Linked DNA regions of Drosophila melanogaster. The protein of the gene in region 2 interacts with the protein of the main gene of each other region in a pairwise test. Each region holds a gene or a part of one and is shown on either strand. Other genes may lie near its edges.

The links. Proteins that work in one complex are often made in the same cells at the same time.
Region 1: the proteins of CG1578 (region 2) and CG15822 interact in a two-hybrid assay, tested with the Drosophila melanogaster proteins (one large-scale study listed by BioGRID).

Annotation. Positions count from the first base shown.
Region 1 is NT_037436.4:2,160,843-2,165,454, forward strand, and holds the start of CG15822 (uncharacterized protein), read right to left. Parts: upstream 3,022-4,612; 5' UTR 2,898-3,021; exon of another isoform or gene 2,849-2,897; intron 1,088-2,848; 5' UTR 956-1,087; coding exon 789-955; intron 1-788.
Region 2 is NC_004354.4:11,813,486-11,818,112, forward strand, and holds the start of CG1578 (uncharacterized protein), read right to left. Parts: upstream 3,067-4,627; 5' UTR 2,941-3,066; exon of another isoform or gene 2,937-2,940; intron 2,259-2,936; exon of another isoform or gene 2,055-2,258; 5' UTR 1,800-2,054; coding exon 1,685-1,799; intron 1,397-1,684; coding exon 1,212-1,396; intron 1-1,211.

The sequences.
Region 1 (4,612 bases), on a different chromosome or scaffold from region 2:
GTTAATCGGTTTGGGACTGGAGGAAAGCGTCTTTAAGCGCTTCATTAGCTTGCCAGTTAGGATTTGGCTTTAATCAGACACTCTTTTTTCAGGGGAACTGCCAGTTGATTGATCACAATCAATATATCCATAATTCATGTGGCTTCTTCCCTGTATTTAAAAGATTGTTTGATGCCTACCTCGTAAACTTAAACAATTTGCTTGTTGTGCCAATAAATAAACAAACTTAAATGGGAAATAACAAAAGAAGGGCGTAAAGCCCATAGGTAGTTGTTTAAATAGGTTACGAACGGTATATAATTTTCATAAATTATCTTAAGGTTTTTAAGAGGGTACATTTATTGCTACTACTATTTTTACATATGTTGCTTGTAAAGTGTGTTTATAAAATGAAAGTGTGCTTAAACTGACCGAACTTTGTATCAAGTTACTCTGAAGTAATATATGTAAGTGGATATTAACAATGTTTTCCATTCAAGACAAATCATCTGACTTCAGAAACTTTAAATTATTTAGTTGGCTTTAAATATCTGACACTTAGCATATAAATAACCAGATTTTGTTAGGTGTTTTCCGCTTTTCGAGACCCGTTTTAAGACCCCTCCCAGAGAGCCGTGTCTAATGAAAAGTAATGCATTAAAGACGACAAAAAATGAACCTTCATCATCTGCGGGCTATTTGCATATTTCGGCCATATGCTAATGAATCGTCGGCATTTCCACTGCCGGTTTCTAAAGTTTCTGTGCCTAATGGCAAATGCCTAATACCACTTAATTCCCGATTCTCACCTGAGAGACCGCTTCAGATAGTCCAGAGTCACCTGCAGATAGCGGCGATTCCACAGCTGCAGATCGTTGAATGCGTTGACAACGAAGACGATGCGCTTCTGGCGATCGAATCCGCCGGATAAGTAGGCACTCCGCGTCTGCAGGGCGTTCAGCACGTCCTCCTCCATCTATAGGGAGTTTAATGATGGGATCGCGATGACGATGCGGCTTTTCTAAATGCTAATTGAGCCTCTTGTCGCCGCGAACATTTTGCTGCTGAGACAACGCGGTATTAGGATTTTCTTTTTGTTTGCAGTTGGCTGTTTGGAAAAGCTTGAAAATTAATACAAGTCACAGTTATGCGAGTTGTTTTCGTTTCTGTGGCTGCTGCTGCTGTTTTTCTTGCCGCTGCACAATGCTGCACATTTCCAAATGCCGCGAGACTTTGTTGGGGAACACGTTTGACAAGTTGCAGCCTGAAACTTTGGTTGCCTTTACTTTACTTTAGTCTGGTACACTGAGGAAAATGCTCATACCCTTAAAACGATAGTTTGGCTTAAATAGCTGCAGGCCATTTAAACGAAGCAACCAGCGCTTACTTCATTTAACTACGAATGGCATTATTGTAAAATACTTTTACGATCTACTCAATTTCTCTCAGTGCCTAGCTAGTCTCTCCACATGATTTTCACTGTTTTCATGTTAGTTTAGGAGTTTTTTGTTGGCTTTTTCAGTTTGGGTCTCTCTGGCCTAATGGAAAAATTCCATTTTTGCGCATGAGTATTTTGACACAAATTGGAGTTTTAGCTCTTTTCCATGCCGGCCAGCAGCAGCAGTTTGAACTTAATTTGTCGGTTGATAAGGGGCGCGGCAGACCCAAACGCTATATGGTATGTACAATATATGCTACATAGAGGAGGAAAAGAGCCAAGTAATTCTTTCACTTGTGAGCCAGAAGTACGTGCCAGAAATCCTGTTTGCTGCCAGTCTATCTTACAGTTATGCGTAAGTGGTCGATGCCTCTTTTCCTGTCTCTCAGTCAGCCCCATCTTGCTCCGCTTTTTCTTTACTCTACCAAAGAGTATTCGGAGATCTGCTTAACTCTTGTCTTGATATATATATGTTTTGATAGAAATTATAGATTAGATTAGTTATATAAGACCAGCTTTGCTATTATAGAAAGTGACATTTGCAGCAGGCACTTATTTAAATTATGGTATATTTTTGATTTTCTGCCTTATAAAGTGTATTTAAAACCCGGTACTGCAGGCCCAACTTCCTTTCCCCTTTTTTATGTTTTATGTTCTATGTTCTATGCTAACCAATTTGCACTACTTGGCTTTACTGCGAGTTTTTGATGGCAGGAGCGAGAGCAACCTGTTTCTTTGGCCGCTTTTGGGAAGCTGTAATAATTGTCATAGCCTAGCGGTCGGTTGGCCCCCTTCCAAAAACCCCTTCTCAATGCACTTTACTACGCCCCTTCCGCATTGGATTTCAATTAATGGCAGAGGACAGGTAAAAAAAAAACAACCTTGCAGCAGCAACTCTGGGATGGGGCATACATATTTCTGGTTTCAAATGTCAGTACGAAAAATACTTGCAAATATGAGCAGAGTTATGTCTATATTTTTATATCCCACTGAGCTCAGCGAAAAACTCACGAAAAGGGTAGCTGAAAATTGAGAACCCCGCGGGGCTCGTAATGCCTCGAATCTTTGGAATCGGGCGCACCTTTCGGCCTAAAAAAAGAAAAAATCGCTTCCAAAATAGATGGCAGCAACAAAAACCGTTTGAGCTGCTGTGTTGTTTTCTTTCAATTTCGTTAAACTTTCTTGAGAACCTTTTTTGGGTTTTGTTTTCCTCGGCTGGGCTTTTATTTTTTTGTTTTATGATATGGCGATAAGATCTATGCCAACGACGATGGGCTGTTAAATTAATTGAAAAGTTCAGCGGCAACAGCAACGGAACTCATTAGCATTTCTCCACACAAAATTTGTTTAACCAGCTGACAAATGTGTTCAGCTGTTTCGAAATGAGTTTTTAGTTCATTTTGCGTGTTGTTCCATGTGAAGTAACTCGACTTGGTTTTAACATGCAGAGCGGCGACTCCTTATCGTTTTGGTGTCTTACTTCTCAGTATTTCGAAACGAATTCAGTTCTTATCGCTCTTTTCGACACCAGAATAAAACCGACAAGACACCGATATCGTTCATCCGCCCCGTCCGCCCGCGTGGAATTCTCGCGCTCAACTGAAAGTTTCCAAACTTTGTTTCGATCTTAGCCACGATCGGTGCCAACCTGGTTTTTCGGTTCGAGTTGCGGCTCGAAGTGCGTTCGAGTTGCAGTTGCTTGCATGTCAGCTGTTTTTTGTTGCATTTCAATTGATCGTGAACTGTATGTAGTATTTCGTATTTTCATTTTTTACTGCGCTGGCTGATGATTACCCGCACGTTTTGCCCTTTTTAGGGGGGCGCCTTTGAAAACCGGTTGGGATTTCTTTTCTTCTTCCAAGTGCAAAATTAAAACAAAACACGCGTTTTGTCCGCCAATGGAGATATCGAAGATTCTGTGGAACACTTTTTTTTATTTTCATTGCTTCCACTTCTTTTCTACTTTTATGGGTATGATGAACTTGGCAAGAGAGTTTTATATGTGGGAATTCAATTAAATGGATGTTCATTTGGAAAGTTTATTCAAATACGAGTTCTAAAGTTGATAAGTTGTGATTTTTATTCCTAATTAATTCACTAATATCTGTCTCTGTTTTTTAGGGTATTATCCGTTCGATTCAGTTATGTTTTCTTCCTCACGCACTCGTTTTGTTGTTTTATTCATGTATCCCTTGACGTGGGAACTTTTAATTGTGTGTGCTGAGAGTTTTCAGACAATGCCACGAATTGTTGTCCACTTCAATATCTTCCGCCTCGCCAAGGAAAAGTACTGGAAAGTGCAGAAGGATATTTAGTATGCTTCCTTGACAGCACAAATATCAAAGATTTATTTCTCTTTGCGTGATAAATGAAAAAAAGGAGCAGTCCAGAACCGTTTTAGGCTTCACTCGTTTATGAAAGGGGACAAAAACAAACATCTCCACCAGAAAAGGGTCACTCCCTGGAAAAATGGTCTAGGGAAGGGGTTCTGTGGGTTACGACCCTTATAAACATGTCAATCACAAGTAAATTGTTGCAGATTTAATGGTCGTCCAAGGAATGTGGGTCTGGCAATAGGAATCCCACCCGACAGCCTGGACTCACTGAAATGCAAACGGATTTCCACTGCTGTGTCAGCAGCGTCGGAAAACGGCGAGAAATACAGTGAAGCTTCGAAAGATGACTTAAAAGTTAACGAACAAGAAAAAAAAACATTTTTAATGTAACAAAAAAATTCATTATTCTAGTTACTCTTATTTGTATCAGCATTTGGAATTTTAGTATCGATCTTGTTTTCCGACAGCACACTGTACCAAATTGCGTCCGCCATAGATTTTGCTTTCCATTTCACTGACTTCCATGAATTTATAGGCAATCTTCGAAGGCCTAGGCGCGATGGTTTTGTTTAATGAAACTTAAAGTGCGTGCCAGAGTGCCCGGGCACGTATCCTTGAGCTCCTCGAGGGATCCGGATCCCTGGGGCTGAGGAGAACGGAACTGGAAGCTGATGAAGTCGGGGCTGCACTCAATTGCAATAGCCGACCGCAAAATGGCGTCGAAAGGACTTCCGTTCGAGCAAAAAACAAGAAGTCATGCAACTGGGCATCATCGGACGTGAAAAGCTGCTGTTTTCCTTTTTATTTTTGTTTTTGTTAATGTTACTGGTGGAGAACGAGGAATGGATCCCTTCCCACC
Region 2 (4,627 bases):
ATGAGTATATATCGAGCGGATATATAACAATAAATGAGCTTAAAAGATGATAAGGAAAACTATAAGAACCAAAATGGAATAACCCTACCTAATAGTTGATCTTAAAGTCATCGTGGGCATGCCGTCATAATCAATAAAAAGTGTATAGAATCCACTATCTTAGTGAATTATTATTAGTTCCTATATACGACATATTTTCAACGTAATTAATTTCCTATCAGCTCAAAGCTGATCAAATTGTAATGCACGATATCAGCTAAGCGAATGCAAAAATGTAATTACACTGTGAGTGCAGGCGATACTGATACTAATGACTTCAGTTAATAATACTATAATGCCTATAAGGCCTGCCAAAGTGTAAACACACCCCATCATGGTGCAAAAACAAATTGTATGATTATATATTATAATACTCATGGTTTGCATTGTTATTGTTTTGGTTTCTGCGGTCTTAATACTTTTTGTATCACTATTTTGAGTGTTTTTTTTTTCCTTTTTTGTTTTTACTTATTTAACCCGGTGGAATGGTTCACGTGCACGGCAACAGTTCGGTTCGTCCCGTCTTGATTGGTTGGGCATCGCGATAAGATTACCCATCGACCCACCGACCCACCGGCGCCTTCCCATCGCGAATGGATGGATGTATGTACATACATACATATACATATAGGAGTATGTGAATATTTAAATGCGATTGCGCCCACCCAATTACCGAGTGGTTTGCGGTTGCAGTTGCAATCTGGGCTGCAGTTGATTGATGCGCTGGAACGCGGATGAGTGGGCACGACCAGGAGCCCAAGGACATGGCACAACAAGCGCGGATAGACGAACCAAATCGCTGATCACTGATAGGCTCACGAATGAAAATTATAAACTATTACGTGCAGAAAAAAAAAACATTTCCCACTAATATATATAGTATTTTCAAGCACGTAAAGATTCAAAAGAAACGAATATAGTTTTTAAACTGTCTAGAGCAACATTTTCGTTTTTTCGGTGTATATATATATATATACATATATATATTAAAAATCAATTATGTATTATATACGGAACTTGGAGCGCTTAGCAAAACAAGAGTATCAACAACACAGCAATTGCAGTCGATTTTCCCCCGCTTTCCTTATCATCCATATTAATCAGAATTTAGGGAAGGGGTTCGGGATTGGGGTTTGAGTTTGGAACCGGCCAATCATTAAGCAATCAATCACCTTGCATGTCTCCAGCAGACTGTATAGATCCTCGACCTCGTCGTCATCGGTGGGCACGTATTGCTTGCCGGTCTGGGTGCTCTTGCCCTTGGTTTCGCGCCGGTATAGTGGCAATCCCATGGCGCTGGCCAGTATCTCGATGCCCATGTGGCCGACCGTCTGGTACATGAAGCTGTCCAGTTCGTCTGGAAATTGAAGATGCATGATGAAGAGGCACAGCGGCGAGAGATCAAATAAGGCGTAATGGTGGTAAATGATAGTGCAAATAGGAATACCAATATCGTGTGTGCCAATAAAATGGCACTGTCTGTTTGTCAGAAGAATCCAAATTGAAAGCATATACATATGTGCCTATCAACATTAATGTGATCCTTCTTTCAGAATTCAGTCATGAAATCATGGTGGGACAAAGGAGATGTGGTACGTTTTCTATATCCTTTAAGCTAAAGACTAAGTGATCGTTGTGGACTCACCTCTGTCCTTGGGATGCAGATTGGCCAGGGCGACGATTTCGTGGCCCTCGGCGACGCACTGCATCATGTTGTAGCAGCTGTCCTTGCCGCCACTGACCATGGCCACTACCCGCATCTTGAAGCCGATTTCCGATGCGGTTTCGCTTAGTGTAATGGCTTGTGCTAGTGTGTGTGCGTGCGGGTGTGTGTGTGTGTGTGATGCCTCTGCCTCTCTTTTATCTTTAGCTTTATTTTTGGCTTAGTTTGTGCTGCTCGTTAGTCCCGAAGTGCGTGCTCATTTGGTCTGCTTTTGTTGACTAGACTGATTTGCCGTGTCTTTTGGTTTGTTTTTCACTCTTTTCTCTCTGCCGCCACCTCCGCCGTTCTTGTGCTGCAAAAGACATAGCGATAGAAAAGTAGAAAAACACACACCATAAAAAAAAAACAAATAAATATGGAGGAGCTTGGTAAGGAAGGAGGAGGTAAATTGCCTGATTACAAAGCTTTCAAACTGTAAAAGTGCCCGTGTGTAATTGTTTTAAAACCGTAAGTGCTTGTTGCTCGGAGAAATTGAATTAAAGCTGCGAAAATACCCCCACACACACACGCATGCACAGGCGATCTGATTGCATTATCGCAGGACCTCGCTCTCCGGCTGCCATCCTCTCCTTCGCCACTGCTTCGTTCTCTTCCCCTTTCCCAATTGGAAAATTGCACGAAGGTCACACACACAATCATATACGCGCTCGCGCGCGAATAGATAGATGCTTTTATTTTGCATTTTAGTTTAGAGCAGAATATTTAAACATGTATAAATCTACGTTTTATAAATAAATCGAATTAGTTGCGCCGGCAGAAGAAGCGCGTGCAGCAGCAACAACAAACATGCGGAGCAGCAAAACAAGAAAGCGCAAAGAAAACGAAAGTAAGGCGAAAGGAAATCAAGGAAAAAAACGAATGTGCCTTATATACAATCACACCCACGCACACACATAACCCACAGATTTGACCCAAATATATTATTTTCAACATATAACACTTTATTCATTTCCTTTCCTTTTTTCCCATTTGGATGAACTCACTCTGGATACCAAAACACAACCCAACACACACACACACACTCACACACGTAAGCACAACCGCAATAAACACACATTTTGCGAATTTCGAAAAACAACAAACTTAATGCGCCATGTGGCTGTTGTGCAAAAATATGCCGCTGGACAGGATTAGAGTAATGCTGCGGCGAACGGGAGCGATCATGAACGCTTACCAACCCAGCTGGTCGAGCTTTATAATTGTTGTGCGACAGAACTTTACGCCAACGTAAATGGCCAAATTAATCTTTTTTGCCGCTAATGCAGCGCCAGTGTTGCCAAATGGCGGTGGTCTGAATTCAATAATCGGTTCCGGCCTAGGGCAATTAGATACTAAATAATGCTACAAAAGCTCAAATTTGAAAATGAAAAAAAAAATACTAATTAAAATAATTACTTTTATTACTGAATAATTCGGTGGTGAAACTATACGTTTTTTCAGAGCATATGGTGTTGTGTTTTAATATTTTAAAAGCCGTTAGCTATTCATATTAAGCTGCTTTGCTAATATTTTAAATAAATAGACTGCAACTAGATTTATCCGTTACAAGGACATACACTCGTATATAAAGTCTGGTCACACTCAGAATGCTGTAATATAAAATTTGGTATTTCATATTACAGCTGCACGGTCACACTGGCATAGCACCCAGAAACCAAAAGAGCGAGACAAAAAACAGAGAGAGAAACAGCGCAGCAACCAAAATAATAACAATTAATAATACTAAGTGTCCGCTAAAGATATTGCACGAATAAAGGCAAACGCTCGCCAGCAGTCAGACCAGCTAGTACTAGTTTTTTCCCTTTCGTTCTGGCAGCAGAGTTTCTTGGTTATTTTCTTCTTTTTTTTCTGTTGCGACGCATAAATCGTCTCTTAATCGATATATACATATATATATATATAAAGACCTATGTATATAAGTTAACGGGAGAGTACGAAAACAAGGCGAACGTTTTGCAGATTTAATGTCGCAGTTACTTTTTGTGCAGCAAGAACAACAACATTGGCAGTAAGCAACAGCAGCAGAAAAAACAACAACGATAACAATAACAAAATCATAAACGAAAAACGACGAAAAGGAAACTTAAGTAAAACGTACGACGCAGCGCAGTCGTTGTGTCTGTATTGGTGCGTGTGCGTGAATTTGTGAACGCGAGTGGGAGTGAGCCAGCAATAGGGCTCTGCGTCGACGGCGGCAGCGGCAGAGGAAGACGAAGAAGAAACATACAAAAAATAGTTCAGTTTTTTTCAAACAAAACTCGAGCTCCGCAGTTGAGAATTTGCTGCGCGTCTCGAAAAAGCTTGTAATTAATTAGTAGACGCCCAATATTAAGCAACAACAGTTTGAGGGCGTGGCAAATCAAAATAATAAGAAGCATATAAACACAACATAAGGGGGAGACGGAGCAAAAGAGAGAGAAAGAGCAAGACGCAATTGGAGATTTTGTTGCTGCTGCTGCCGCCTGCAACAACCGAAGATAATAATAAAGAGGAGCTGCAAACAAGAACTAAGAACAACAACAGCAACAACTGACGAAAAGCACACACCATAAAGGAAATCAACAACAAAAGCTAAAGTGAGAAAGAGAGACCAAGTGAGAGAGAGTAGGAGAGCGAGCAGCTGAAACATATGATTTTTGTTTGTGTTGTTGTTTTTGCGCGCGCTCTGCGGAACGTGTGAGAAAAGTGGAACGAGCGAAACGAGTGGCAGTGTTGTTGTGTTTCAGCTGCTGCTGATTCAACCAGCGAACAGCAACAACAACGCAAGTGGTAAGTTCTTCATCTTCTTCTTCTAGTTGTTTCTGTTTGACGCGCAAAAAAAAAATTGAAAAAGAAAAGGAAAGAAAATCGTGCATATACATATGT